Oryctolagus cuniculus: one gene and its partners. The protein of the gene in region 4 interacts with the protein of the main gene of each other region in a pairwise test. Links are inferred from orthologs where the notes say so. Each region holds a gene or a part of one and is shown on either strand. Other genes may lie near its edges. The genes, in order: STX1A, STMN2, BTF3L4, TXLNA, DTNB, CEP57L1 and HYPK.

Evidence for each region.
Region 1: the proteins of TXLNA (region 4) and STX1A interact in binary tests that used the Homo sapiens proteins (3 or more experiments, as listed by UniProt). The link is inferred for Oryctolagus cuniculus from reciprocal best matches to the Homo sapiens genes TXLNA and STX1A.
Region 2: the proteins of TXLNA (region 4) and STMN2 interact in binary tests that used the Homo sapiens proteins (3 or more experiments, as listed by UniProt). The two-hybrid records come from large-scale screens. The link is inferred for Oryctolagus cuniculus from reciprocal best matches to the Homo sapiens genes TXLNA and STMN2.
Region 3: the proteins of TXLNA (region 4) and BTF3L4 interact in binary tests that used the Homo sapiens proteins (3 or more experiments, as listed by UniProt). The two-hybrid records come from large-scale screens. The link is inferred for Oryctolagus cuniculus from reciprocal best matches to the Homo sapiens genes TXLNA and BTF3L4.
Region 5: the proteins of TXLNA (region 4) and DTNB interact in binary tests that used the Homo sapiens proteins (3 or more experiments, as listed by UniProt). The two-hybrid records come from large-scale screens. The link is inferred for Oryctolagus cuniculus from reciprocal best matches to the Homo sapiens genes TXLNA and DTNB.
Region 6: the proteins of TXLNA (region 4) and CEP57L1 interact in binary tests that used the Homo sapiens proteins (3 or more experiments, as listed by UniProt). The two-hybrid records come from large-scale screens. The link is inferred for Oryctolagus cuniculus from reciprocal best matches to the Homo sapiens genes TXLNA and CEP57L1.
Region 7: the proteins of TXLNA (region 4) and HYPK interact in binary tests that used the Homo sapiens proteins (3 or more experiments, as listed by UniProt). The two-hybrid records come from large-scale screens. The link is inferred for Oryctolagus cuniculus from reciprocal best matches to the Homo sapiens genes TXLNA and HYPK.

The regions. Positions count from the first base shown.
Region 1 is NC_091450.1:50,381,677-50,385,737, reverse strand, and holds the start of STX1A (syntaxin-1A), read right to left. Parts: upstream 2,801-4,061; 5' UTR 2,719-2,800; coding exon 2,689-2,718; intron 1-2,688. UniProt on the Homo sapiens protein: Plays an essential role in hormone and neurotransmitter calcium-dependent exocytosis and endocytosis.
Region 2 is NC_091437.1:105,186,071-105,189,570, reverse strand, and holds part of STMN2 (stathmin-2), read right to left. Parts: intron 554-3,500; coding exon 381-553; intron 1-380. UniProt on the Homo sapiens protein: Regulator of microtubule stability. When phosphorylated by MAPK8, stabilizes microtubules and consequently controls neurite length in cortical neurons.
Region 3 is NC_091438.1:120,888,675-120,892,880, forward strand, and holds the start of BTF3L4 (transcription factor BTF3 homolog 4), read right to left. Parts: upstream 2,801-4,206; 5' UTR 2,658-2,800; exon of another isoform or gene 1,622-2,657; intron 1-1,621. Other genes in the region: TXNDC12 (thioredoxin domain-containing protein 12), read left to right, coding at 3,959-4,049.
Region 4 is NC_091438.1:140,273,197-140,277,250, reverse strand, and holds the start of TXLNA (alpha-taxilin), read left to right. Parts: upstream 1-1,254; 5' UTR 1,255-1,422; exon of another isoform or gene 1,423-1,449; intron 1,450-1,564; exon of another isoform or gene 1,565-1,779; 5' UTR 1,780-1,969; coding exon 1,970-2,135; intron 2,136-2,627; coding exon 2,628-2,966; intron 2,967-4,054. UniProt on the Homo sapiens protein: May be involved in intracellular vesicle traffic and potentially in calcium-dependent exocytosis in neuroendocrine cells.
Region 5 is NC_091433.1:177,327,473-177,330,972, reverse strand, and holds part of DTNB (dystrobrevin beta), read right to left. Parts: intron 1,132-3,500; coding exon 972-1,131; intron 398-971; exon of another isoform or gene 295-397; coding exon 205-294; intron 1-204.
Region 6 is NC_091436.1:62,252,130-62,255,629, reverse strand, and holds part of CEP57L1 (centrosomal protein CEP57L1), read left to right. Parts: intron 1-768; coding exon 769-913; intron 914-1,533; exon of another isoform or gene 1,534-1,689; intron 1,690-2,508; exon of another isoform or gene 2,509-2,724; intron 2,725-3,435; exon of another isoform or gene 3,436-3,495; intron 3,496-3,500. UniProt on the Homo sapiens protein: Centrosomal protein which may be required for microtubule attachment to centrosomes.
Region 7 is NC_091443.1:66,686,284-66,689,108, forward strand, and holds HYPK (huntingtin-interacting protein K), read left to right. Parts: upstream 1-1,136; coding exon 1,137-1,298; intron 1,299-1,647; coding exon 1,648-1,703; intron 1,704-2,023; coding exon 2,024-2,075; intron 2,076-2,229; coding exon 2,230-2,325; downstream 2,326-2,825. Other genes in the region: SERINC4 (serine incorporator 4), read right to left, coding at 1-282. UniProt on the Homo sapiens protein: Component of several N-terminal acetyltransferase complexes. Inhibits the N-terminal acetylation activity of the N-terminal acetyltransferase NAA10-NAA15 complex (also called the NatA complex).

The DNA of each region.
Region 1 (4,061 bases), on a different chromosome or scaffold from region 4:
CCACCCCCACCCCCCACCAGGCCTGCTACATCAGCTCCCTGCTTAGCACAGGCTGCCCCTTCGCAAGGTCCCAAGAGCATGGGGGCGGCAGCTTCGGGTCCGGGGAAAAGGCACCGGGCTGTGCTGTGTGACCTCAGATGAACCCGTGGCCCTTTCTGAACCTGGCTTTTCTGATCCGTAGGCTAGGCGGTGAGACCAGCCGGTCCCCAATGGCACCGTCTCTCCGCAGCCAGATCCTACTTCATTCTGGGAAGCCGCGGGGAAGGAGAGGGGGGTGTCGGGAGACCCTGCCCCGTGCCTGCTCTGCGAGGCTCCACTGGACAGGTGCAGAACCGACCAGACCTGCCTGGTGCTGCCCCCCACTGCGGCCTCTTGACCTGCCCTGAGAGGCGTGGGGAGGGGGGGAGCCGGGCCCCTTTCTGGACCTCAGGGGCATCCTCCATCCCCTCGGCTTGGGCTCCTCCTCCTCCTTGGGACCATCCCAAGTTTTCCTCCTCCAGGAAGCCTGCCAGGCATGCAGGTGAACTCCTTTCTGGACCGGAGGAGGGGTGTGGAGCAGCTCCAGTAAAGCCCCAGAAAGAAAATCAGGGAGGCTTCTAAGTGTAAGGGGACATCCTACCCTGAAAGTGCCCACCCCACCCGGGGCTGTGTGGCTTCCCTGCACCCCCAGGAAGGCCTCTCTGACCTGAGGCCTTGGTCTCAGGGGCTGAAGCCCCACACTGGCCCCGCTCCCACAGCCCTCTTCACTCTCCCCCTGCAGAATGGAAAGGAACCTCAGAGAGAGAGGCAGGCGGGGGCAGGAGGAGGCTGGAGGGCTGAGCCCGGCCCGCGGAGCACGGAGGAAGCACGCCAGCTCCTTCCCCAAGTGTGACTTTTATAAATAAGCTCCCTTCGCCTTCCTTCCAAATGTGGTGGCGATGTTGGGTGAGCGAGGAGGAGGAGGAGGAGGAGGGCGGGCTGGGGGTGGCGCACAGCCACGTCCTGAACCCCAGCTCCGGCCAGCCCAGCCAGTGCCGCTCCTCATTTCTGAGCTGCAAATCCTGATTCCTGGAGTTCAAGGTCTCCCCCAGAATGTGCAGCCATAGGTCCAACACCTGTGGCTGCACCTCGCCCCCAGAGCTGGGGTTTCCTCGTGGAAAACCCTTCAAAACTGCAGCCCACCCAGTGCGAGCTCTGGCCAGCCGCCCCTTGTCCCTTGCCTCTCGCCCCACCCCCTCGAGGCTGTTAGAAACTGGAGGACAGCGACCAGGGGCTGGTGGGAGGTCTATGCCTGCAGGGAAAACATCAGATAACTCAGAGCAAGCCAGGCTCGCCAGCCAGGGCTCAGGCAGGTGTGTGTGTGTGTGTGTGTGTGTGTGTACACGTGGACTGGGGACAGGGACTCACATCACAGACAACTTCTGGGTCCCTGCTTCTCACCACTCAAGCTCTCCTGGGGCCCCCCAGTCCCAGCCACCAGGCCAAGTCCCTCCCCACACCCCGTTGCCTCCAGCAGGCAGCCCCCCCCACCCCGTCTCCTTGTGCCTCGGTTTCCCTTCCAGCATAGGGACAAGCCAGAGGCTCCCCTGCACCCTCATCGGACCCAAGGGACACGCAAGCAGGAGCAGGCGCTTCACGCAGCCAACCCTCGCCACGCCGGTGCCCCCACCGACTTGCCGCATCACAGGAACCTTGAGAGCAACCGAAAGGGCTGGGGGGAAGTGTCCGGGGACCAAGGACCGCAGGAGGGACCGGCTGCTTCCTTGGAAACCCCACGGGATTTGCCCCTGGGGCTGGGCGCTCGGCCAGGAATGACACAGATCTGGAGGCCAGGCAGGTGGGGTGGGTGGGGGGCACGGACTGGTGTGCAGGGGGTGGTCGCTAGCCGGGGCATCAGAGGAGACCCAAGCCAGTCTTGAGCCCCCCATTACATGACCCCATTTCCTTCACTGCCCCCCAGGGGCCCTCCCCGCCATCTCCAAAGGCAGAGGCGGCTTTGAGGGTGAGGAGCAGCAGGGCAGAAGTCCTGATCCGGGCTGAAAGAGGTGGGCGCCGACCCAGAACCTTGCCCCGGAACCCCGCCCCAGGAGCCACAGCCCAGGGGCCTCGGAGACACAGGTGGAAAAATAAGATCCAGGTGGGAGTCGCACCGCGGAGCCCCGGAAGGTGGACTAGGTGGGTGGGTGGGTGGGGTGGGTGCGATCCCTCGCAGCCCCAGGGCGCCCAGAGACAGGGTCCCGACCGCGCCCGGGCAGGACAGGGAGCCACAGGTGATGGGAGCCACAGGTGATGGGGGAGGGGCGGCGCCCGGGCACCGTCCCCGGCGGGTGTCCCCCCGCGGTCCCGGCGCGCGTTCACACGGCGGGGTCAGCGGAGTGTGCAGGGGGTGGCGATGCGGGCGGGATCGGCTCCGCGGGCGCCGTCCCGCCACCGCCACCCCGATAACCCTCCGACTCCCCCCAGGCACCGGGAGCCGCAAAGTTTGTCCAGGACCCCGGGCTCCGGCCGCCAGCCCGCCGGCCGAGGCGTCCGGGCGCGCGGGAGCCGGGGACCCCCGAAGGGTTTCGAAGGGGCGGGACGAGCAGGGGGCTCAGGGTTCCCCCCTCCCCGGCCGGGGGCGCAGGGGCCGCGGGAGGCCGGGGGCTGGAGGCAGCCGGGGCGCTGGCGCTGGCGCGGGCGAGGAGCGGCCGCGCGCGGGGCCGCACTCACCGTGCGGAGCTCCTGGGTTCGGTCCTTCATGCTCCCGGGAGTGGCAGCGGCACCGGCTGCAGCCCTGTGAGCCCCGCATGCGCGGCGGCCGCCCCGCGGCTGCGCAGCGCCAGCGCGGCCCCGCCCCGGCCCCCGGGACCCCGGCCCGGCCCCGCCCCGCCCCGCCCCACCCTCCCAGAGCCCGGGGGCCCTGGGCTTTTGTCCCAGCTGGGACCTGGACGCTGGATCCCCTGCGGCCTCCCCGGCCTCGGCCCCGACCACCTCCCCACTCTGCACCCCGGACCTGGGCCCCTAGTCTCCCCCGCTCAGTGAGCCCTTCCAGCTGCGGTTGGAACTCCGTGCAGCAGCCCCCTGCCCAAACCCCGCCCCCGACGCGGGGCCCCGGCCCCTCCCACTGGTCACACCACCTCGTGCAGACTCAGCCTCTGCCCCAGGATCTCTCGGTTCACGAGTGCGGGCGACCCCCACCCCCAACTCACCCTTGCGTTGGCTGTTCCAGCAGGATGCAGGAACCCCTCGATCCTTGGGGGGCGATGGTTTTTTTTTTTTTTTTTTGCTTTCTTTTTTTTTAAGGTTTATTTATTTGACAGAGTTACAGAGAGACAGAGGCAGAGAGAGAGGTCTTCCATCCGCTGGTTCACTCCCCAGATGACCGCAATGGCCGGAGCTGTGCCAATCCGAAGCCAGGAGCCAGGAGCTTCTTCCAGGTCTCCCACGTGGGTGCAGGGGCCCCAAGCACTTGGGCCATCTTCTGCTGCTTTCCCAGGCCATAGCAGAGAGCTGGATTGGAAGTGGAGCAGCCGGGACTCGAACCAGCGACCATATGGGATGCCGGCGCTGCAGGCGGCCGCTTTACCTGCTACACCAAGCACCGGCCCCAGGCCCAATAGCACTTCCTCTCCTTTCCCTTCCTCTTTCCCTGCATCTCCTGCCCTGAGCTCCAGCTGTGGGCCTGAAGACCCCATTGCCTGTCCACAAGCCGGGGCCGCTGGGCCTGGGACGAGCAGCACCTGGGGAGGGGCGGAGAGGGGCTGGTTAGTCACAGATGCTCCCTCCAGGGCTCTGTCTCTCCTTGTGACAGCATCCCAGTGGCGGCCCCCGGCTGGAATGGCCCAGACCCTCGACCCCAAGCCAAGCACGCGCCCCTTTTCCCTCTCCCCAGGACCGCCAAGGCTCTGCTCTGGAGCCAGCCCAGCCCCCGCTGCCTGGTGAGCCTGGCGCCTGTCCCAGACTGAGGGCACAGGTGAGCTGGCTGGCAGGCGGAGTGGGGGCAGCATGCCAGCCTTCGCTTCTTCCCGGACAAGCTGGCCTCTGATGTGGTCTGGCCTGGGAGACAGACGCACTGCTTGCGAAAAGCTGTCCAGGCTTCAACC
Region 2 (3,500 bases), on a different chromosome or scaffold from region 4:
CTCCTGCTCCCAGGGCCAGCTCCTCCGGTTACCTAAGGCTGTGCTTTCTTGGCAATGTGTATGTCTGATAGACTAGAGGAGGGGGGCCTTTATGACAAGGGGAAGAGGAGTGTGGTTTTGGTTCTTTTGAAATCAGCCTTTATCTTACCATAATTGAAGCACATTTTATCTAGACGCTCCTGGCTCTACATCTATTGAAGACTGACAGATGTTGGGATGTTTCAGGTTCAGGTGTCACTGACCCTTGGAACCTCTGCTAGAAGTTTGTGAATGTGTGTGTGTGTGTGTGTGTGTGTGTGTGAGAGAGAGAGAGAGAGAGAGAGAGAGAATGCAAAAAAGAGAGCGTAGAGTGAACTTCACCATTGTCTAGAAAGAGTTACCTTTCTTCTTTCCTCTGCAGCCTCCAGCTTTTTCTGGATCTCCTCCAGGGACAGATCTTTCTTCTTTGGAGAAGCTAAAGTCCTCGGGGCTTCTGAGATAGGAGAGGGTGGCTTTAGGATCAGCTCAAAAGCCTGGCCAGAGGCACGTTTGTTGATTTGCTTCACTTCCATATCTAAGGAATGAACAGTGGAGAATATTAAGCATACAGAGGTCAAAGCATGGATTTATTCTAATGACTTGAATTCCAGCAACTGAAAGCAGCATTATTAAACTGGGAAGTAGAAGTAAAATGCTACAGATGATAATTTTCTCTACATTGTTTTGGAGTGTTTTCATCCCAAATTAATGAATGACAAACATGTGAGGTAATGTATATGTTAATTAGTTTCATATACCCATTCCACAGTACACACACACACACATACACACACACGGTGGTAACACAGTGTATTCAAAAAGTTCATGGAAAATGCATATTATGCAAAAATCCTGCATGGATTTCAAAATTTTTTGTACCAAATAAAACTTACCTTTAAGTTCTGTTTTCCATGAACTTTTTGAAGTACCTTCATATTTTGAACATATTTCACATAATAAATATAAAATATTTTTGTTAGTACAAAAACTGAATAGTTGCTAGCCAGCTTTTTTTTTCATCAGTGGCATTTATGGCAAAGATAAGCAGATTATCAGACCCTCAAGTTTTAACCCTGCATAATATGGTTTTAATATTAATATAATTTATAATATAAATAAATGATAACTAATATCTGATGAGACATTCATCATTACATGTTTCGCAAATTAGTGAAATATAATGATTAAAAAATGAATATTCTTTAATGTGAGCCTCAGATGGCATCCCTTTGACATCACTCTACTGGAACTTGTATGTGATGTGAATGGTTGCAAGCCAAGGACATTCTCTGTTGTGTCTTCCAAGTACAGTTGTCCTTTAGTCCCTGCGGGTATGGTTCCAGGATGCCTGGTGGACACCAAAATCCAGGGATGCTCAAATCTTTATGTAAAATGGCACTGTGTTTGCATAGATGCTACACAATATTCCCATAGACCTTAAGTCATCTCTAGCTTAACATGTAATTCCCTAATACAATGTAAATGCCATGTACGTTGCTGTCATGCTGAGGCTGCTCTGTACCACGTCTCCCACCACAGGCTAAGCATCTTCAGGGAGATTGTTCCTAGATCTTGATAAGCACGTTGCCACCTAACCTATAAGTCTCTCTAATTTATTAATGTTCCTTTGAAATCGTGGCAAGCCAGCCAGCCAGGTCTCCAGGCCGGTTCTGGCCAAGGCAGAGCAGAAATCTTAACTTCTTCTAATGTGAGGATTATGTTTCCATTAATGTTTCAGCAGTACATTGAGGTTGTGGTCAGATAAAAACCCCAGGCTGACAGGAATTGACCTTGGATCCATAAATGCTTATAGAAAATCCAGATGACTAATTTAATAAGTAAGCTGGAAATGATGCATTTCTTTTCCCATAAATATAAAAGTAATTTAAAATTTCCTGAAGCCATCCAATATTTAGTTATGCTTTAAATGCAACTATATAAAATCTATGTAAGCCTATAGAAAAGGATTACAAAAGAGAATGGGCAAATAAAAATAGCTTATTTGATGAGGTGATGAGGGATTTTAAAGGGCTTAGCTGAGAGACTGGTATTAGAACTGCCTGTATTTGCAGGTGAACACTAGATACTGCTTTCCTGCTGTGTGGCACTGGCAAAGTTAATTAAATTCTCTTAGCTTTCATTCCCTCACATAAAGACAGAGCTAAGAGGAGCATCTTTCTCTTAAGATTGCAGTGAAGATTAAATGACAAATGGTAGGGAATGGAAAGTACAGCCTATGGCACTCTGGGTTTACTAATGTAAACAATAAGAAGAACAACTGTTATTTGTTATCATGTTTGTCTACAACAAATGATTCACATTCTTATCAACATAGAAATACAGGCCAAGTTAAGGACCTCAGAAATTTGATATTCTCCACCAGTTCTGGTATTGATTCAATCTGGACAAGATTGAATTATCTGTTCAACTTCTGAGACTTGGTTCATATATAACTTTGTACTTTCTTCTACCCCTCTTCTCAATCCCTCAAGCAGCAGACACCATCATTACCTCTTATGTCCTAAGCACTCTGTGTTCTGTATCTTGCCCATGTGTATACTGAAAGACACTTTCCCTGAGCCTTGAGTGCCTTACAGGTGAAGATCATGTTACATTCATCTTTGGATCTTCAGTGACAACACTGAGTGATCTATACTGAGTGATCCAACATCGGGAGTCTCCTAAGAAAGATAGCATGGTTCCTACTTGCAGCCAGATCTAGCAGATAATAATGGTCTGTCCAGTATATGTGAATTTATGCAAAGCAGGAACTGGCCTTGGGCTTCTGTTCTAATAAAAGTTTTGGTTAGACACCAAAACCTTTTTACATGGGGTGGGCAATATTTCCTTCTGAGACACTTGATCAGCAGTCAGGATGCTTACATCATCATGGAACAACTTTCTACAGGTTTTAAAAGCACAGAGGGGGTTAACTACCAAAGGCCCATTCACCTGATCCTTCGTGTCTTTCTTTACATATGTGGAAAAGAAAAATAACTGACAGCCTAGGCAAACAATATGCTTTAGCTATATCTAGTATACATAGAACTGAATCAAATATTTTGATTGGATTGACTGAATTAGATGAGAATGAATTGTTGATAATAATAGCTATCTTGATGCTTTAACTTAGTGTGAAAACTTTTAAACCTCATAACAGCCCTGCTTGGAGATGCTAGTGTTCAGTGAGGCTCTAGGGATCTAGGTATCTGCTTGCCCAAGGCCAGGAGGTCAGTGGCAGAGCCAGAGAGAAAAGACTAGCCAAATGAATTAGAATACATTCAACTTAAAGGATTGTGCTTTCCTAAAGTGAGCTGCCAGGCCAATGCTCCGGGCATTTCTCTTCACACCTGTTTACCGGGGCCTCAGTCATATATCAGTTTGAATTATTTAGTCAACTATGATTACTATTAGTTTGTTGACAGGCATACACAAAATATGGGGACTTTATAAAGACTACAATAAAGAAAATGTGATGTTAT
Region 3 (4,206 bases), about 19 Mb from region 4:
GTTCTTACAAACCATAATTTTTAAAAACTGGATGGACAAAGGAATTCAACAATAGGTTGTCTAGCTGTCAAAATATGAGCTAGTCATGTCCTTTATTCAAGGTCAGATGTTATGTTAATAACAGGGAAACAGAAGCAGATTTCCAGACATTTGGTGCTTCAGCAGCACTCCAGAATTCACTCATTACCCTGCACTGATATAGTATGCCATATTCATCAAGATTTCCTTGCATTTTGAGTGAAATGCTTCATTGCACAATCTGACAAAAACATCTCTCTGCTACAACAGTGAATTTAGAGTTAGATGGAAGACGCCTAAAAATAAGCTTTTCAAAGCTAATTTTGACTTTGAAATTTCCAAGAACATTATAAAGTCATGAATCCTAGTCTGGCCCGTGACATTCCTACTGCGGAAATAAGTTCTTAAGTTTATAATGAGTCATAACATTCCACACTAAATAAATAAATATAAGTCAACTTAAAAGTCCTGTTTTACTTATTCAGTCAACAGATCATTACTGAGATGCAATGGAATAAGGGACGAGGTTGTTATCAATTTTTTTTTTGTCCAGTCCTCTAACCCCTGTAAAATCATCAAATGAGAAAGATACTGTTTTCTTCATTTGAGGAAGGGGGTAAAAAAAGAATCAAAGATAAATAATTACTAACCATTCTGTTTGACATTGTACTTAGATACTAACCTGTATGTATCTCTGCTTTAAGGCTAAAGTTCAGTTCCCAAATAACATTTAGAACCTATGATTCCTCACTCTTAGCACTATATCACAATCATAATATTTAAGTAGCTAAAACCACTTTTAAGAGGAAGTGAGTTCAGAGTCTAAAACAAAAAGTATTAGAAATGTACCAGTCTTAGCTCTGCCAGACTTAAATTCACTGAAGTAAATGTCAATCCCTATACTCAAGTATCCATAAGAAAAGGACCAATATTCACTTTTCCCCAAGGGATGTGGCCATGAAGGTATTCTGGGGGAAAAAATGGGGGGGGGGGGGGGAGGCTAAGGAAGCTTTTGTAAAAAAAAAAAAAAAAAAAAGAAGCTACATGAAAATATTGAAACTATACACAGGGCAAATCCTTTCTGGACTCTTCTCCCTTTTGAAGTAACAGTCCTTGACAGAAGAGATGGAAGATGATGATACATCAAGGCAGAGTCTTGACTCATAAAAGCAAGAACGAAATTAACTCTATATATCAACGTGTAGATGAAGAACAGATTCCATTCCAAGTGGTCAGGCCAAAAGAAGGGAGAAATCTTACTCCCAAAGAGTATCTCAGAGAAAAAGCATTTTAGGGAAGTCGGAAGCGCAAGGCAGTAGGGAAAGCTGGCCGGTGACCTTTTGTCTGAGCAAGCTGGGGCATGTGTACTTCAAGCAGGAAAAAGGATCAGGCTCAGTCTAAGAGAGACGTAAAGCTCAGGATCTGAAGCAGACCTCAAAGATCTCCTGGTTTCATCCCCTACTCTTCAATCTTTACTGCACCATCACTTACATGAGGCCATCTCAAATACCTGCTTTTTAGCAGCAAAGTGTAAATTACAAACAGTTCACCTCCATCCCAGTTTAACAGATTAGGAAGTGAGAGCTTGACAGGAAAAAGGTACCTTTCAGGGCCCAAAAGGTGGAAGTGATTTCCTAAGGCAAAGGGTCTTTCAGTACGTCGTTCTTCAAGGACTCAAGAAAGGGTGTAAGTTAAGAGGTTAATCAGTATTTACTGAGTGCCTAAGTTCCCAAGCATAGTGAAAGGCACTTTCACATACATTATGTTTGCACTGAGATAAAAGTAATTTCAACCTTTAGTCCCAACTTTTATTACGCGAGGTTTCTCCAAGAAAAAGGCACAGGTCTTGGAATCAGAAAGGCTAAGGCATCGGAAGGGTATTCTACTGTTCTGAACTTGTGTTCCTCCTGCATGAGGGAAGGTGTACCACCACCTACTTCACAGGATTGTTTTGAGCGCAAAAGGCTAGATTATCAAGCACAGTGTACGCAGTAATTGGCAACTATTGTTACCACTTCCGAGAGGACGGCTAAGCTAGAGTGAAAGAACGTGGGAACGGAAGTTGAAACCGCCATTCACTGGCTGTGAGCACTGCCTGTCGGTCAGTGATGTGGTTATGAAGATGGGCAAGGTAACGTTTCAAAGGGGAGGCAGACTTGTAAACAAATACTGCCATTACAAGGTGACGAGCGCGGCAAAGGAGTTCGGTCCCAACAGCTTGGAAGCTGGACGCGCTAACCTCAGTCTCCCTATCTGTAGACTGGGAGGAGCAAAAGAGATGACAGCAGGCCAGCTTTCTATAAGGCTCAAAGCTCGCAACACTGTTGTTGCGAATAACGAGCAGCAATGGCACAGAACAGGGGGCGTCCCCCGCCTTCTGGGACTGGATCTGGGAGGCAACAGAGCGGAACCGCTCGCCTCTACAGGAAGCGGTGGTGCTGGGTACCTTCCCTCAGGTGCCGACCCCCAGCTCCGCCGCCGGTAACCGACAGGCCAAACCAGCCGCCTCCGCCCCCACTCGCCGCGCCACGGCGGAAGTGGCAGTCAGAGCGGTTGGCGGGTGTCGGAAGAAGAGGGCGGGGGAAGACCGTGCGTAGCGGCCTATGGCCGTGTAGTGGCGGGACTGCCGGGGGTCTCACCTGAAGCAAGGAGGATCCTCCAACACCAGCACGCGGCAAGAGCAAGATGGCTGCCTCAGCTAGACAGAGAAAGACGACCGCGGCGGTGGCGGCGGGAGCAGGGCCCACGTGACACAGTCGGCCCGCCTCTCCCTCTCCGGAACGGCCTATCGCGGGAGTGCAAATCCGAACTACAAAGCCCAGCGTGCTCTGCGCGTGCCTAGCTTGCTATTGGCTGCAGGTGCAGGTGGCCGCGCTGCATCCTGGAGCTCGCAGTCTCCAAAGCGTTCTATTGTGTCGGCTCTTATAATTTGTAGGGAATCTAATAAAATAAAGGGCGGTGTGTGGTTTCGTTTGGGTGTGTACTTCTGTTCCAATATATCTCACTGTGCAATAAGTAAGCATTGTTTGGACTCAACTAAGTACCAGGAGGAAGATGGGAAAATTAATCTGTTTTCGCAACACAAGGGGAAAAATGGGAAGAAATATTCAACTCATAACAAAAATAGATTTAACCAGAAGAAATTTTACACTTTAGATGCTTGCAGTGACTTATGTCCTGGTTCCCTAGGTCCACCTCAATCAGTTTTGCAATAAGAGGCACCAAGTTTGGTTTTCTTGGAGCTTACATCAGTTGATTGCATCATCCTCGAGTGGAAGACTTGTGATTTTGCAAGGGAGTGAAGGTCCAGCGCTTCTTCCCTAACGGGTAAGGGCATGCCTGGAAGGCACGAGACCGTGCACCGCAGAAGGGGTTTGCCAGGTCTCTTCAGAGACCGGAGTAGGAACTTACAATGACATCCAGTTGTCCATCTTTTACTTGGGGAGCAGTAAGGGGAATCCGAGGCCGGAGGGCAACCTGCCCAGTACTGAGAGCGTCCAACCAGAGCGATCAGTAATTTGCATTTTGAATATTAAGTACAGCGGTTCTAGGGGGGAGGGGCCAGCCTGGCTGGCAGACGCGATCAGCAACGGTTCTCCCGAATCTCTTCCCCGCCCCCACTGTCTCGGTCCACCTTTTCCTTTTTCGGTCACCCGACAGGGACATCCAGAATCCAGAGAAAGCTACTCGAGATGGAGAGCTACTCGCGCACCCTATTACGTGACCTGTACCTTTAAACTCTTTCCATTTCCATCCGGACCCCGGAGGCACCACCCACATCCGTCTAACATCACTTCCTTCGGACTTTGGAAAAAAAAAAAAAGAGAGAGAGACACACACAGACAATCTGGGAACGCGAGGGGTTGAGCGGAGCCGTGCTTGGGGAGCGGTGTGAGCTGTCTGCTCGGCACCGTGGTCCCGCGCACCTACCACCGTGGAGATGCAGGCTCGTCTCGGGGCCACCTGTTTGCTGGGCTTCAGTTTCCTGCTCCTGGTCACCTCTTCTGATGGACACAGTGGGCTTGGAAAGGGTCAGACCGCGTTCTTTTTTTATCTTTGCTGATCCCGGGCCCCAGCCCGGTGTAACCCTTTTCTTGCCCTAACACCGCTACCCTCTCCTTCTGCCTCTTAGGGCACCCCAAATCTCTCTTTAGCTCCCCAACCGCTCCTGGAGTTTGAAGATAATTT
Region 4 (4,054 bases):
AAAGTAGAGTTGGAGCAAAAAACCCAAGATTGGATGGAAGAGGCAAAAGCCAAACCACGTAGGCTCTTCAGATTCCAGGTGCAAAGAGTACTGGGTTTTATTCCAACGTCTATAAGCAGCGGTGATAAAGAATTGTGACCTCGGGGCTGGTGCCTGCAGTGCCGCCATCCCACATGGGCGCCAGTTCAAGACCTCCTAGCTGCTCCATTTCCAATCCAGCTCTCTGCTATGGCCTGGGAAGGCACTGGAGGATGGCCCAAGTCCTTGGCCCCCGCACCCAGTGGGAGACCTGGAAGAAGCTCCTAGCACCTGGCTCCTGGCTTCGGATCGGCGCAGCTCTGGCGGTTGCGGCCAATTGGGGAGTGACCCAGCGGATGGAAGACCTCTCTCTCTCTCTGCCTCTCCTCTCTGTGTAACTCTGCCTTTCAAATAAATAAATAAATCTTTTTAAAAAATTGTGATCCCACCTTTGGAGAAAAATCTGGCCTTTTCAGTTTTAGCCCTAGTACCACAAGGACTTTGTACAAAATGGGACGAAGAAGTTTCAGGAATGGGCCTGAGGTCAAACACCCCTGCAGGGACCCCTCTGCCCCTTCCTGCGGGACTGCCGAGCTTATTGGGGGGGGGGGGGGGTAACTACCTTTCACAAGTTACCCGGGCTCTTGGAGAACGCCTGCAATGGTGATTATTTCTTCTGAGTAAAAGGCAGGGTAGCGGAGTAGTCAGGTTCTGAACCACTGCTCGAACCCAGCATCTGTGACCGTGGGCGAGCTGTCTAACGCGAGCCTTACAGCCCTCTTCCGTTAAATGGGAATGACAAATAGTACTTATCTCCAGCAGCTAGGAGGCCAGGGCTTTTAAGAGACCAGGGAAGCACACGGGGTGTGCTCAGAGAACCGCTACGGTCACTGAAAGCCTGCGTCAGAATAAGGAAATCGAGGCAGGGAGAGAAAAGAACGTCCAGTCGCGTGGCACCTAGGGATGAAGTCGGACCTGGAACACAGGCCTGCCTCCCAGCCCAGGCCTCTCCGGAGTCCCCGGACTGACGGAGTGTGGACCGAGGCACGCGGGCGCAGTGAGGCTGGGCCGCACAGGGCTTCTGCACGACACCGGCGAGGTTGACGTGGAGGTTTGCTCAGAACCACCGGCTCCCCAGCCCTCCGGAGTCCGCGGCTCTGAGGACGAGAGCATCCTGGGAGTTGTGTCGACCGATGCATGGTGGGACGTGTAGTCCGCTCCTGTCCCCGCCCTCCCGATGCACCCGCCTTGGAGGCCGCCTTCGCTCCCGGCTCCCGGCAAGCTCCGCGCCAGCGCCGGCTACTAATTGGCTGTGGCTCGGACAGGCGGCTCTGCCGGCAGCGGTTACCCAGGGTTTCCGGTGCGAGGCCAGCGCTGGGGACGCGGTCGCACGTCGCCCGTGAGGTGAGCCCAGCGGCGGGACGACGGACGGTGAGGGCCTGCAGACCTGGACACTTTCGGCCAGCGGGGAAATTGCTCCGATTTCTGCGCGTGGGCGGCGGCGGGGGTGGGGGGAGTCGGGGTGACGCTGTGCGCATGCGCGCGACTGGAGGGCGCGCGGGGCGTGGGTGGCTGCGTGCGCGCGGGCGCGGGAGCCCACGTGGGACCTGGGGCGCGGGGGGAGGGGTCGGAGTCGAGCGTCCCGCCACGTCAGTCTGCGGCCGGGAGCCAATCCCGCGCCGGGCCTGCCGTGAGGGGCCGTGTGGGGCCGGGAAGTGGCTTCGGGGGGAACAAGGAGGCCTCTCTCCTCACCCGCTCCAGGAGCAGCGCCCCGGAAACCCGCCGGGGTGCGCCAGGCCCCCTGACCGGCCGGACAGCGGGAGAACCGTTGGCTCCCTCCGTTGAAGGTGCGCCTGGGCTGTGATTTCTGATCCAGGCTGCGAAGAATTCTGTGGAAAATAGCAACTGTGTTTCTCAAGGATCCAATCCCAACCTAAGGTGGCAGCGCACAATGAAGAATCAAGACAAAAAGAACGGGGCTGCCAAACAGCCCAACCCCAAAAGCAGCCCGGGACAGCCGGAAGCAGGAGCGGAGGGAGCCCAGGGGCGGCCCGGCCGGCCGGCCCCCGCCCGAGAAGCCGAAGGTGCCAGCAGCCAGGCTCCCGGGAGGCCGGAGGGTGTGTGCCAGCTCTGCGTTTCCAGCCGCCTGGGGGAGGAGTTCGCGGCCCGGCCCAGGGAGGAGGCAGCGGGGATGTGGAGCATCCCAGGCTCTGGGGAGGGGAGGCCCTTGCAGGCTTCTCGCAGGTGGCCGGCACCTGAGGCCTCAGCCAGTGACGCCGGGTTCCATCCGAAGGACCTCGGTCACCAGTGTGGGTCACTGCCCTTGGTTCGTTGTCGAGGCATTTCTGGAGCTGCTTGCATAGCAAGCGGGGGCTTTTAGAGGGAGGGGAATGGACGAAACATTGAGTTGCCTGCCTCCTGCGACATGGCAGTCCCAGGTGCCGTACGTACTTATTTTATGCTTGAACAAACTGTATTGGGGAGGTTGCGAGAATTAAGTAAGCTGGGGCAACCTTAAACCTGAACCAGTGAGGCTGGCTGGGCTCACGATCCCAGGTGGTGGTCTAACCTTGCCGTCTGTCGCTGCCTCTCGTCCTCTCCTGCCCTAGGGGCTCAAGCCAAAACTGCTCAGCCTGGGGCGCTCTGTGATGTCTCTGAGGAGCTGAGCCGCCAGTTGGAAGACATACTCAGTACATACTGTGTGGACAACAACCAGGGGGCCCCGGGTGAGGATGGGGTCCAGGGTGAGCCCCCTGAACCTGAAGATGCAGAGAAGTCTCGCGCCTATGTGGCAAGGAATGGGGAGCCGGAGCCGGGCACCCCAGTAGTCAATGGCGAGAAGGAGACCTCCAAGGCAGAGCCGGGCACGGAAGAGATCCGGACGAGCGATGAGGTCGGAGACCGAGACCACCGGAGGCCACAGGAAAAGAAGAAGGCCAAGGGTCTGGGTGAGCAGAGGGCAGCTGCGGGGGGCTGTGGGGAGGGCTTTGCACCTGACATTCCTTGGGCTGTGCAGCAGGGAGTCTCCCTGGTTGATTCAAAGCGCAGGGTATTCCAGCCACAGGCCGGAGTCGTTCAGGTTGGGAGCAAGTGAAATGGAGCCTGATCCTCATGGACAAAGCGGAGAGGTTTGGATGGGCTCTGTACCTGCCCACACCGCTTCGTCCCTGCTGTGTGACCTTGGGCATGTCCTTTCCCCGCCCTGGGCAATAGTTTCCAGTTCTCTACAAGGAGAGGATTGGGCTAGGCCAAAGTTGCAAACGCAAACGTCTGTGTAAGCCAGGACCGAGGGAGGGCCTGCTTTCTGCCCAGGGTGGACTGCAGCCTTGTTCCTTGAGTGCTCTGCACTGTGCCTGCTGCCAGCTCGTCAGTTGAGAGCGTGTTGAACCTCAGACTGGGTGCAGCTGGAATTTTATTTTCTGTTAAGAAAAGCCAGAAATCAAGAGTCTGGTGAAATCTGTAGATTTCAGTAGTAGAAACCAAACAAAACCCATGCATGAGCCGGGTTTGGCCTGTGTGCCAGTGATTGGCATCTCTGTGCTGGTGTCTTCGGGCCTCCGCAGGCTGAGCAGCCTGGAGCCTGGTCAGCAGCCCCTGGGGAAAGGCCCCCCACTGGGCACAGGCAGTGGGGAAGTGGCAGAGACGGTTTTTTGACAGCAGAGTTCGTGTCTGTTAAGAATCTGGGTTAGATGACATTGGACTTGTGTCCTAGTCCCTGTCTCGCCGCCCTTCCCCCGCCCCCAGCACTTGTCACCCTAATTGAAAGAGGAACTTTTTTAAAGAATCATGGGAACACACATTGAAGGTCTCTTCATTATAAGGTTCCCTGTTTGGATGCCTCGTACACAGGGCTATAGATTTCTCACGGAGGCCAGGAGACCTTTTCGGATCCTGCTTCTCTGGGAAGGCCCCACTTTGCATTGAAACAGTAGCCCTGAATTTGCAGGTGGGATACCTTTTATCTGCTGGGAGGCAGACAAGCTTTTCTCCCACCAGTGGTGCCCCCCCCCCCCCGAAGGAATTCCAAGAGGTTTTG
Region 5 (3,500 bases), on a different chromosome or scaffold from region 4:
CACGAAGGGGCCTTGCCGGGTGCAGATCTGGATTCCTTACACTCAGAACTGTGTTGGCTCCGCAAGGCAGGTCGAGCTAAATGTGTGACCGTCCCCACCCCCGGGCTCACGCTCTGTGGGCGCTGCCCTCCGCCGCACCCTAGAAGGCAAAGACTGAGGGGTGAGACGAGGCCGCGTGTGCCGCGGGGGAGCTCTGGGCTTCACCTGATCGGAGCTCTTTCACCAGGGATGACATGGTGTTGGTGATGGAGTCGGCAGCCACCAGCAGGTCACTGCGCAGGTTTCTCCTCGTACCTGAGGGGAGTCAGCAGACGGCGATGCCAGGGCGGTGGGCACGGAGAGGAGAGCTGGGTAAACGCCTCATCCTGCCAGGCCCTGGCACGCAGGTGCAGGACGCCTGCGGGGAGACGGGGCTGCGGCAGCTCCACCTGCTCCCGGGCACAGCAGGAGCAAGAGGAGCCCCAGCCCCGTCCTCACGGCCGCCGCCGCCTCTCCCTGCGCGGCAGAGCTGAGATCCAGAGCGAGCCGTACATGGAGGTGCTGGTCAGCTGCGGGCGGAATTCACTCGCCAGCACCCCTCCTTGTCCCCTGCCCCCAAGACTTCCTGCTTGAGCCCCTCGTCTCCCACCCAACTTCTCAGTGTCGCTGAGCCTCACACGGCCGTGCCCTCGCAGGGTGGTGTGTGGAGTCCATGTGCCCATCCTGTGCTTGCGCCCAAGGCTTGCAGGGCTGGGGGCATGACTTGAGAGCTACTCCATCCACTTCCTCTGAAGGGGACAAGGTCCAAAGCACAAGCCCCGCGCCCCAGCTCCCCCACACGGCTGCTGTGTGTGTACCTGCTACTGGAGACCGGCCCATCTAACAGGAAGGGGCCAGCACCTGACTTAATCCCACACTGAAGCCAAGAGCTTTCAACAAAAGCACAGAAACTGCGGGATGACCCCTCCCTGTGCCATGCGGCAAGCACCCACCTTGTGCGAACGCCTCCTGCACGTCTCCGCCGACGCCGCTCAGTGAGTCCTGCGGGCAGTGGGTGGGCGTGGAGCCGGCTGACGTGGAGCGGACGGGCATGGGCATGGGGCGGCCACCTCCGTGAGTGGGTGACGTGTGCGGGGACCCCGCGGCCTGCGCCTGGGAGGGTCAGAGAGAGAACAGGGGAGCTCAGGTATCTCTGAGGAAAGGGAAAGCCAGGTGGAGCTGGCGCGGGCTTGGCCATGTGTGAAGCGAACGCCCAGGCTGCCCCAGGACTGGAGAGAGGAGGAAGGGGAAGGAGAGCCTGGTGCGAAGGGGGCATTTCAGGGAGGCCGAGGGGGCCGGGGGCGGGGTCAGCTGCTGGAGGGCCAGGAGGGAGGAAGATGCAGACGTCCTGCCTGTTTGTTCACAGACACATTTGTGCACGCGCCGGTTCATGCACTCACTCTCCTCTGATCCCCCAACAGCCACAGCAGGAAGGGCCAGGCTTCCCTGTCCAGTTAACAGGAGAGAACCAAAGATGAGCAGAGCCACGGGCCTGTGCCGGGCTCGCCACCCAGAGGGTCGGGCTGCGGCCCAGGGCTCGGGTCAGCGAGGCCTCTCCCAGGGCCCCCACCAACCACACACCACAGGCTGGGGGGATGGGAAAGCACAATGCAAGACGGAAACTGAACAGAGGCAGCTCACAGGGCAGGGGGCTGCTCCTCGGGGCTGCTGCGTGCGGCAGAGCTGGGGCTTTCTGCAGAAGCAGCACTGGGAGAATACAAGCCAAGGAGGGAGGAGCGCAAACGAAGACCCCTATCTTCCCAGGAACCAGGCTCGGAAGGCCCGCAGCAGAGGGACTCGGCCCTGGCTCGGCCGGGCACTGACCTCGACAGAAACGGTTTCTGGTCTTGGTGCTGGTCTTACCTCTGAGTCATTTCTATGTGTGTGGATTTTAACTTGAGAAGTTTACAAAGGTGGAAAACCAGAAAGTGTGATATAAACCACTCCAAACCGACACACGTGACACTGTCACATTTATTTCCACCTGGAAGTACTGCAGATAAACCTGAGGAGCTCCGTGCCCACTGCTCTTGCCATTCCCAGTTCCTTTTCTTACCCCTTCGGTGGCGGCCACTGTCAGAGAGCTGGGTGTGAAACTTCTCACCCCGTGTACCCGCATATCTGTGCATCTTATACTTGTAAGCTGTGCGTGAGTAGTAGTATACTGCACACATGGTTTCGCAGTTTCCTTTTATCACTTAGCACACTTCCTGGACTCTTTCCAGGACACAAATAAATATGATCACAGACCCTCACGTCTCATGTCATTTTAAAAAACTAACTTGAAAGGGATCAAAGTAACTATAACAGCTAAAACTGTAAAACTTCTCAAAGAAAACATAAAGAAATCTTTGCAGACATGGGTTAGGCAGATTTCTTAGATGTGACACCAAAACCAAGCTATATGAAAGACACGTTGAATTTCATCAAAATTAAAAGCTTCTGTTCTTCAAAAAGCATCATTAAACACTACATGGACACATGGACTCAGAATGGCTCAATAACCTACGCACGGGAGCTAAACCTACAAAACTCTTGGAAGAAAACAGGGAGAAGCCTTATGATCTTGGGTAGGAGAGCATATGAGAAGCAGAAGCTACAAAACAAACTTCTGTGCTTCAAAGGACAGCACGGAGAAAGCAAAAGACAAGCCACAGGCAGGCACAGAACTTCTGCACACGACGTGTCTGATAATGGATCTGTACCTGGAACTCTTCCAGTTCAGTAACAGGTCAAATAACCTAATTTTCAACTGGGCAAAGAATCTGAATCGGCTAAGACGCACAGTGTCCAAATAAGCACAGAAGAGATGCTCACCAGTACTAGGCCCTGGGCAGGCACAAATCGAGACCATGAGATACTACTTTACCCACTAGGATGGTTGTGATCAAAAAAGGCAGGTGCTAAGTGTAGGCACGGCTGTAGAGCCCCAGGAACCTCCACACACTGCTGAGAGAAATGGAGAAGGGAATGAACAGCTGCTCGGGAAAACGGCCTGGTGGCTGAGCTAAAGGTTGAACGTTGAGTACCAGGTGACCCAGCAGTTCCAGTTCTAGATACACACCCAAGAGAGATGAACGTATGTCCACACAACAATCTGCACAACCGTTCATGGAAGCAGCATTATTCAACTTAGCCAACAAGAGGCCAGCATCGTGGCGTGGCATGGCGTGGTGTGGTGTGGTGAGTAAAGCCACTGTTGTCTGTGATGCCGGCATCCTGTATGGGTGCTGGTTCATGTCCCAGATGCTGCACTTCCCATCCAGCTTCCTGCTAATGGCCTGAAGAAAGCAGCAGCAGAAGATGCCCCAAGTGTTTGGACCTCTGCTCCCCACGTGGGAGACCTGGATGCAGCTCCTGGCTCCCGGTTTCGGCCTAGGCCAGCTCTGGCCATTGTGACCATCTGGGAAGTGAACCAGCAGATGGAAGATCCTGTCTCCCTGTCTCTCCCTCTAACTCTGTGTTTTCATATTTATTTATTT
Region 6 (3,500 bases), on a different chromosome or scaffold from region 4:
CACTTGCAAATTCTGAAAGGCCTGACTTCATTATTTGTATTTATATATTTTTTTTGGTCTGCAAATTTATTATCACTGATTTTTCATTGTGTTTATTGATACTAAGTTTTCAAGTGTGCATAATTGCTGCTTTTCCATTCTACAGAGTTTCTGTATTCTCAAAATCTGGACTGACAGACAGATATTATTATTATCATTCTAACATCTATGGTATGGTGACCTTAGATTACAATTCACAAAGCTTTTAAAAGAAAAGCTCTCAATTTGTTTTTAGAATTTTGTAGTTAAATGAATGATTTCATTAAACAAGTAGAATGTAATGCCTCGTCTTAGGCCTGGCTGATCTGCGTTACACATTTTGCAGCATCCATAGTAAGGAAGATTCTGTATAGGCTACGTTAGATCATGCCCCATGTTTAAATGTATATCCAGAACCATGTGATTTGGCTGGCTCACTACTTGAACTGAGACCTCTGTAGAAGCTATAACTAGTTCTGTGAACAGTATTTCATTGACAAGGCCAAATCCTTCAGCAGTAATTCCAGAGTTGGAACTGAAGAGCCCTTTAATGCCTCCATCCAAGGACACCAGAACATTTTACTACGTGTTGCCGGGAGCCTCGAGAACTCAGATTTTTTTAAGGTTATTTGGCCATCTAAGTCAAAATCTAAATGTATCTAATCTCAGATTACAAGGGCTTAAGATTATTATTTAACTCTCAGTGAAACTTATGCTACAACTGAATTGTTTTAAATTTGCTTTTTCTAGGGAGCACCAAGAACTACTGAAAGAAATGAAGGACACTGCAAGCCATTCAGTCTATGGTGACATAGAATGTGAACTAGAACATTTAGTCAAGAAGATGGAAATTAAAAGAGAACAGATTTCCAAACTGAAGAAGCATCAAGACAGTGTAAGAAAGCCTTAGTAAAAAATTGCAATGAAAAGATAACATAACTGGTGTCAATGTTACATCTCCATGTGACCTTCCAAATATGAGGTTCTTATATGTGGTTTTGTGACAAGATAGACAGATAGGAATCACTTAGGCCTGTTATATACAGTACAGCTAGCCATCCCATTGGAATAACATGGGTTTCCTACCTGACTCTCCATGATAATGTAGAGAAAAAGGAGTAGGAAAAGTAAATTATGTGTTCAGAAACAGCTCTGGGAAAATTGTGAGGAGGAGAAATTTGACTGAGCAGCCCTCTGGTTACTCTTTTCTCCTGTTCCCCTTTTCTCCTCCCATGCCTTAATGATGCCCCTTTGTGTTAACAGATTTTTAATTTCCTACCACCCATAAGCCTGGCTTCTCAGGAGTACCCTATTCCTAAACTCAATGTCAACCTTTCCCAAAGCAAGCTGTGCTGTTTTTTGCTTTGGGGACCTGCAGTCAGCTAGCTATAATGAGTAGGATGGCGTTGGAGAGAACTCTGAATTTGGATGTAAAGTCTTAATAGCTATGACTGGCATAACAGCTTTAATATTTGAAAAAAGAACCCTAGAATATAATATTTTATTCCATGACAGTGACTCCATAGGTTGAACTTCGAGCACTCCTACAGCACAGGAGCAGAAGGCAGAGGGATCCTTTCCAGGAGCCGTCAGGTCACATCAGATAGCTCCCTGCTGTGGATCTAATCATCTTTCATAAAAGTCTGCAATGTGTTAACCTCACAGATATGAGTAAGCCTCCCCTGCCTCTTGTAGGAAAGTATTAAACAATGCAGAACATAGCTGCCTTTATTCTTCTTATGGCCTACTTTTGAAGCAAACATTTTCATTTTGCTAGCTTTTAAAGCTATAAGTACAAAGTTTTGTATGGATGTATTGGAATAAAGATTGTACAACTTCTGCACTTTCTTGGAATTACATAGGGGAAACTTGAAAGAAATGGAAAAATAAAAACTTTAACAAGTTAGTTCATACAGACTATATTTTGAAGGACATGATTTATATTCCATAATGACTATAGCAATATGCAGACATTTTATTATGATACATTTCATATTTGTAATAAAAATAGCCTCAAAGGCAAATAGACAACCCCGCACTCAGTGTCTAGGCTAGCTGTACCAATTAGAGCCATGTGTAAGTGAAAACAGACTATGGAATAGGTTCGCCTTTGAAGAAATTCAGCTAGTTGATAGATAATTATTTGTTTAATTCTATCTACCCCACTTTTACCAGACATTCCTGATGGCAATAGTTAGTCCTTTGATTTTTTTAAACTGACATTCAGTAGTACTTTATTGTTTAATTCAGAGATATTTTTATTATGATGATGATTATTATTATCATCATTATTATTTTTTAATTTGAGAGGCAGAGACCTCCTAAATGACTGCAATAGCCAGGGCTGTGCTAAGCTGAATGCAAGAGCTAGGAAGGCAATGCAGGCTCCCCACATGGGTGGCAGAGACCCAATTACTTGAGCCATCACCTCTGTCTCCCAGGAAGCTGGAATCAGGAACCAGAGCCAGGTATTGAACCCAGGTGCAGACATTTTTTTAAAGATTTATTTTGTTTATTTGAAAGATAGAGTTGCAGAGAGAGAGAGGTCTTCCATCTGCTGATTCACTCCCCAAATAGTTACAACAGCCAGAGCTGAGCCAATCTGAAGCCAGGAGCCAGGAGCTTCTTTTGGGTCTCCCACGTGGATGCTGGGGCCCAAGGACTGGGGCCATATTCCACTGCTTCCTCAGGCACATTAGCAAGGAGCTGGATCAGAAGTAGAGGAACTGGGATTAGAACTGGCATCCATGGGGGATGCGGAGGCTTTAACCCACTATGCCACAGCACAGGCCCCCAGATATCTTAAGTGACATCTTAACAAGCATCTTAACTGCTTAGCTAAACACACACCCCAGAAATACTTTACATATATATATATATATACTTTATATATAATATAAATATAAATATATATGTAATAATATGTATATAATTTTTATATAAATAAAATACTTTAAAATATATATATATAGGTACTTCAGAAAGTTCACAGAAAATGCTTATTATGAAAAAAAAACAATGCTTGGATATCAAAATTTTTAATACCAAATTAACTTACCTTGAGGCCAGTGCTGTGGCATAGCAGATAAAGCCACAGCCTGCAGTGCTGGCATCCCATTTGGGCACCAGTTCAAGTCTTGGCTGCTCCACTTCCTATCCAGCTGTCTGGTATGGCCTGGGAAAGCAGTAGAAGATGGCCCAAGTCCTTGGGCCCCTGCACCTATGTGGGAGACCTGGAAGAAGCTCCTGGCTCCTGGCTTTGGATTGGCCCAGCTCCAGCAGTTTCAGCCATATGAGGAGTAAACCAGCAGATGGAAGACCTCTCTATCTCTTTCTCTCACTCTCTCTCTCTCTCTGCCTCTCTGTAACTCTGCCTTTCAAATAAATAAATAAATCTTAAAAAATAAATAAACTTACCTTTTAATTATATTTTCCCACAAAGTTTTGGAAGGATCCTCATGGGTGTGTGGGAGACACCTTCA
Region 7 (2,825 bases), on a different chromosome or scaffold from region 4:
GATGTAGAACAGGCGGCTACAGGTAGAGTCTGTTAGAGTCGGCCAGCCAGGGTGGCAGCAGCTGGAACTAGGAACAGCCCCACAGCAGGACACCTGGGGACAGAGCAGATACAGGCTGCAAGGTGGAGACTGCTGAGGAAGGGGGTAGATTAATTTATGTGTGAGGGGAACCCTTAAGGTTGAATTCTGAAATCCCCCCGTTTTTCCAAGATCTTTGAGACTCCTTAGACAAACATCTGGGGCTGGGAAGAGGGAGTTTACTGAGGCAAAAAAAACAGGCATTACAAGAGGAAAAGCCTGTCATTTTTTATTGGCCTCCACAGGTTTTCTTTCTCCGCTTCAGCCACCCTTACACTTAACAGTGTTTCATATAGCCCTTGTTTAAGGAAGCTTTCCTTGTCTGTCTTGCCAAGCACCCTCTCACCTGGGAGAAGTGGGTTTTCACTGTGACATTGCCGACTCCGCTGCGCTGCTGCGCCAGGTCCAGGGAGGTGCTGGGGCCTTTGTCAGCCCTTGGACCCATCGTCTTTGTCCTTGGGATTAGGCCCAGGTCCTCCAGATGAAAAGAAGGTAGATGAGAAAGTAGCAGCAGTTTGTCTTCATCCTATTGGCCTGCTGCTTAGCTGGGGCTGAACTCCCGGTCTAAGGCAGCATGGGGACATCAGGAAAAGAACACTGCTCTCCAGGATGTGGTAAATGCAAATACCCCTGTGAAAGTGCTTCCTTGTCAGGGCCTCGCCCACTTAGGCAGTTCTCCCCAGATTAGGGAGCCTCCTGCGGATTAGCATTCTTAATTGGTTTAGGATTAGACCTCATCCAACCTGGGCAAACGGTTCCCTGGGGCAAGGGAGGAGGAGAGGAACTGTTTCTGCGCTAAGGGAGAAAGACGAAAAGCTATCGGGTTGGGCTGGTTTGGAGCGGTGATGCGTTACATCTGGGGTGAAGCCTTGCTAAAAACACTGCTACACGTCTGAAAGGAAGTCTGAGAAGGGAAACGCCTTCCCCGCTGAAGCTTCTAGAACGGCAGCATAAAGAAGGTGTGGCCCAGCGCCAGCCCCGCCTCCCCTGGGCGGAAGTCGCTGGTTAGGTACCGGAAGCCGTGAGGCGTGGCTGGTCGGCGGCGCGGTGGAGTAGATATGGCGACCGAGGGGGACGTGGAGCTGGAATTAGAGACTGAGACCAGCGGCCCGGAGAGGCCTCCTGAGAAGCCACGCAAGCATGACAGTGGAGCGGCGGACCTGGAGCGGGTCACCGACTATGCGGAAGAGAAGGAGATCCAGAGTTCCAATTTGGAGACGGTGAGGTTGGCCGCGAGTGCGTCTGGGCGGGCTGAGAGCAGAGGGGCTTCTGAGCCGGTAGCTGGAAGCCCGCGCAGACGGGCGTCCCGATCCCGATGGCGGGAGGAGCCAGTAGGGTAGAGGATAGTGCCAGGGGAAGCGGAGGTCACCGGAGCCCGCCTCTTGCCAAGGGGAGCTTGACGGATACTAATCTTAGGTGGAGAAGTAACACAATTGAATAAAACGTGGTGCTTGGATCCCAATTGCGCTGGCCATCAAGCATACATCCTGTGTCGCTTGTTACTGGGTTTTTAAAAAGGTCACTGGGGAGTGTGGGTAGCGAAGTAGTAACAAGACCTCTTTCCCATAGGCCATGTCAGTCATTGGAGACAGACGGTCCCGGGAGCAGAAGGCTAAACAAGAGCGGTAAGTGTTGAGTGCACAGCCGGGCAGCATTACCAGTTCCGTCCTCAGACATTAAAGACCATTGCTATGTCTTTGTACCGTGCTTCAAGTCTACCACCAATTCCTGCAGACCTAGAGATTTTTTGTTAATGGAAGAAAGGTGTCCTGGCCAACACCTGCCTGCCAGAAGCCTCTTAGAGGGAAGGAATGGCAGGAATGGTGGGAGTCATTTTATATTGTCACCCTGTTTTTCAAGATCCATTTATCTGCGGATTCCAGCTGATAATTCTCCCTACGAGTTTATGGTGGAAGTAGAGACTAACACACTTAAATATTTGCAGGGAGAAGGAACTGGCTAAAGTCACAATCAAGAAGGAAGATTTGGAGCTGATAGTGAGTAGTAATGCCTAACTAGTTTAGGGCAGGGAAGGTGGTTCTGCCTAATTTGGGCTGTTTCCTGCAACTAGTAGAAATCGGTCAGCATGTCTGGTGGCACATTAATGCCAGGGAGGAGACGTGGGTAACATGATCTATCCTTTTCCGGCAGATGACCGAGATGGAGATCTCTCGAGCAGCAGCAGAACGGAGCTTGCGGGAACACATGGGCAATGTGGTCGAGGCTCTTATTGCCCTAACCAACTGATCAGTGCTTTCTTACCCATACTTACTGGCTTAATTTATTGCAATAAAAATGTTTTGGTCTTTATTGCTGTTTTTATCATCTTGGATCAAGTGCATTGTACATCACATTTTGTTGTGGCAAACATATATATGTTGAAATATAAATGAATTTAATGACGCTCCTCCTTCCCCACAACCCAAGAATTGGCGTAGAAGAGTTCCTTGTGTTCAGATGCACATAGTAGGTGGCTGGCCAGTCCCATTTATCTGACTAGCAAGCACACAGCGATTACTGTACTCCATGGCATGTGTCTCCAGGACAGCTTATTATTAATAGCTGAAAGGCCAGCACCAGCCTTGTAGCCATTGTGTAGATACAGGTTACCAACTCAGTTCACAGGCCAGTTTAAGTTAGAATTTAGGTATCCCAGGCAGAACCATGGAAAGAAGAGGGGCAGAAAGGCCTGACACAGAATTGATCTATGGGAGATTTGAATTCTGAACTGTAACACATTCTACATT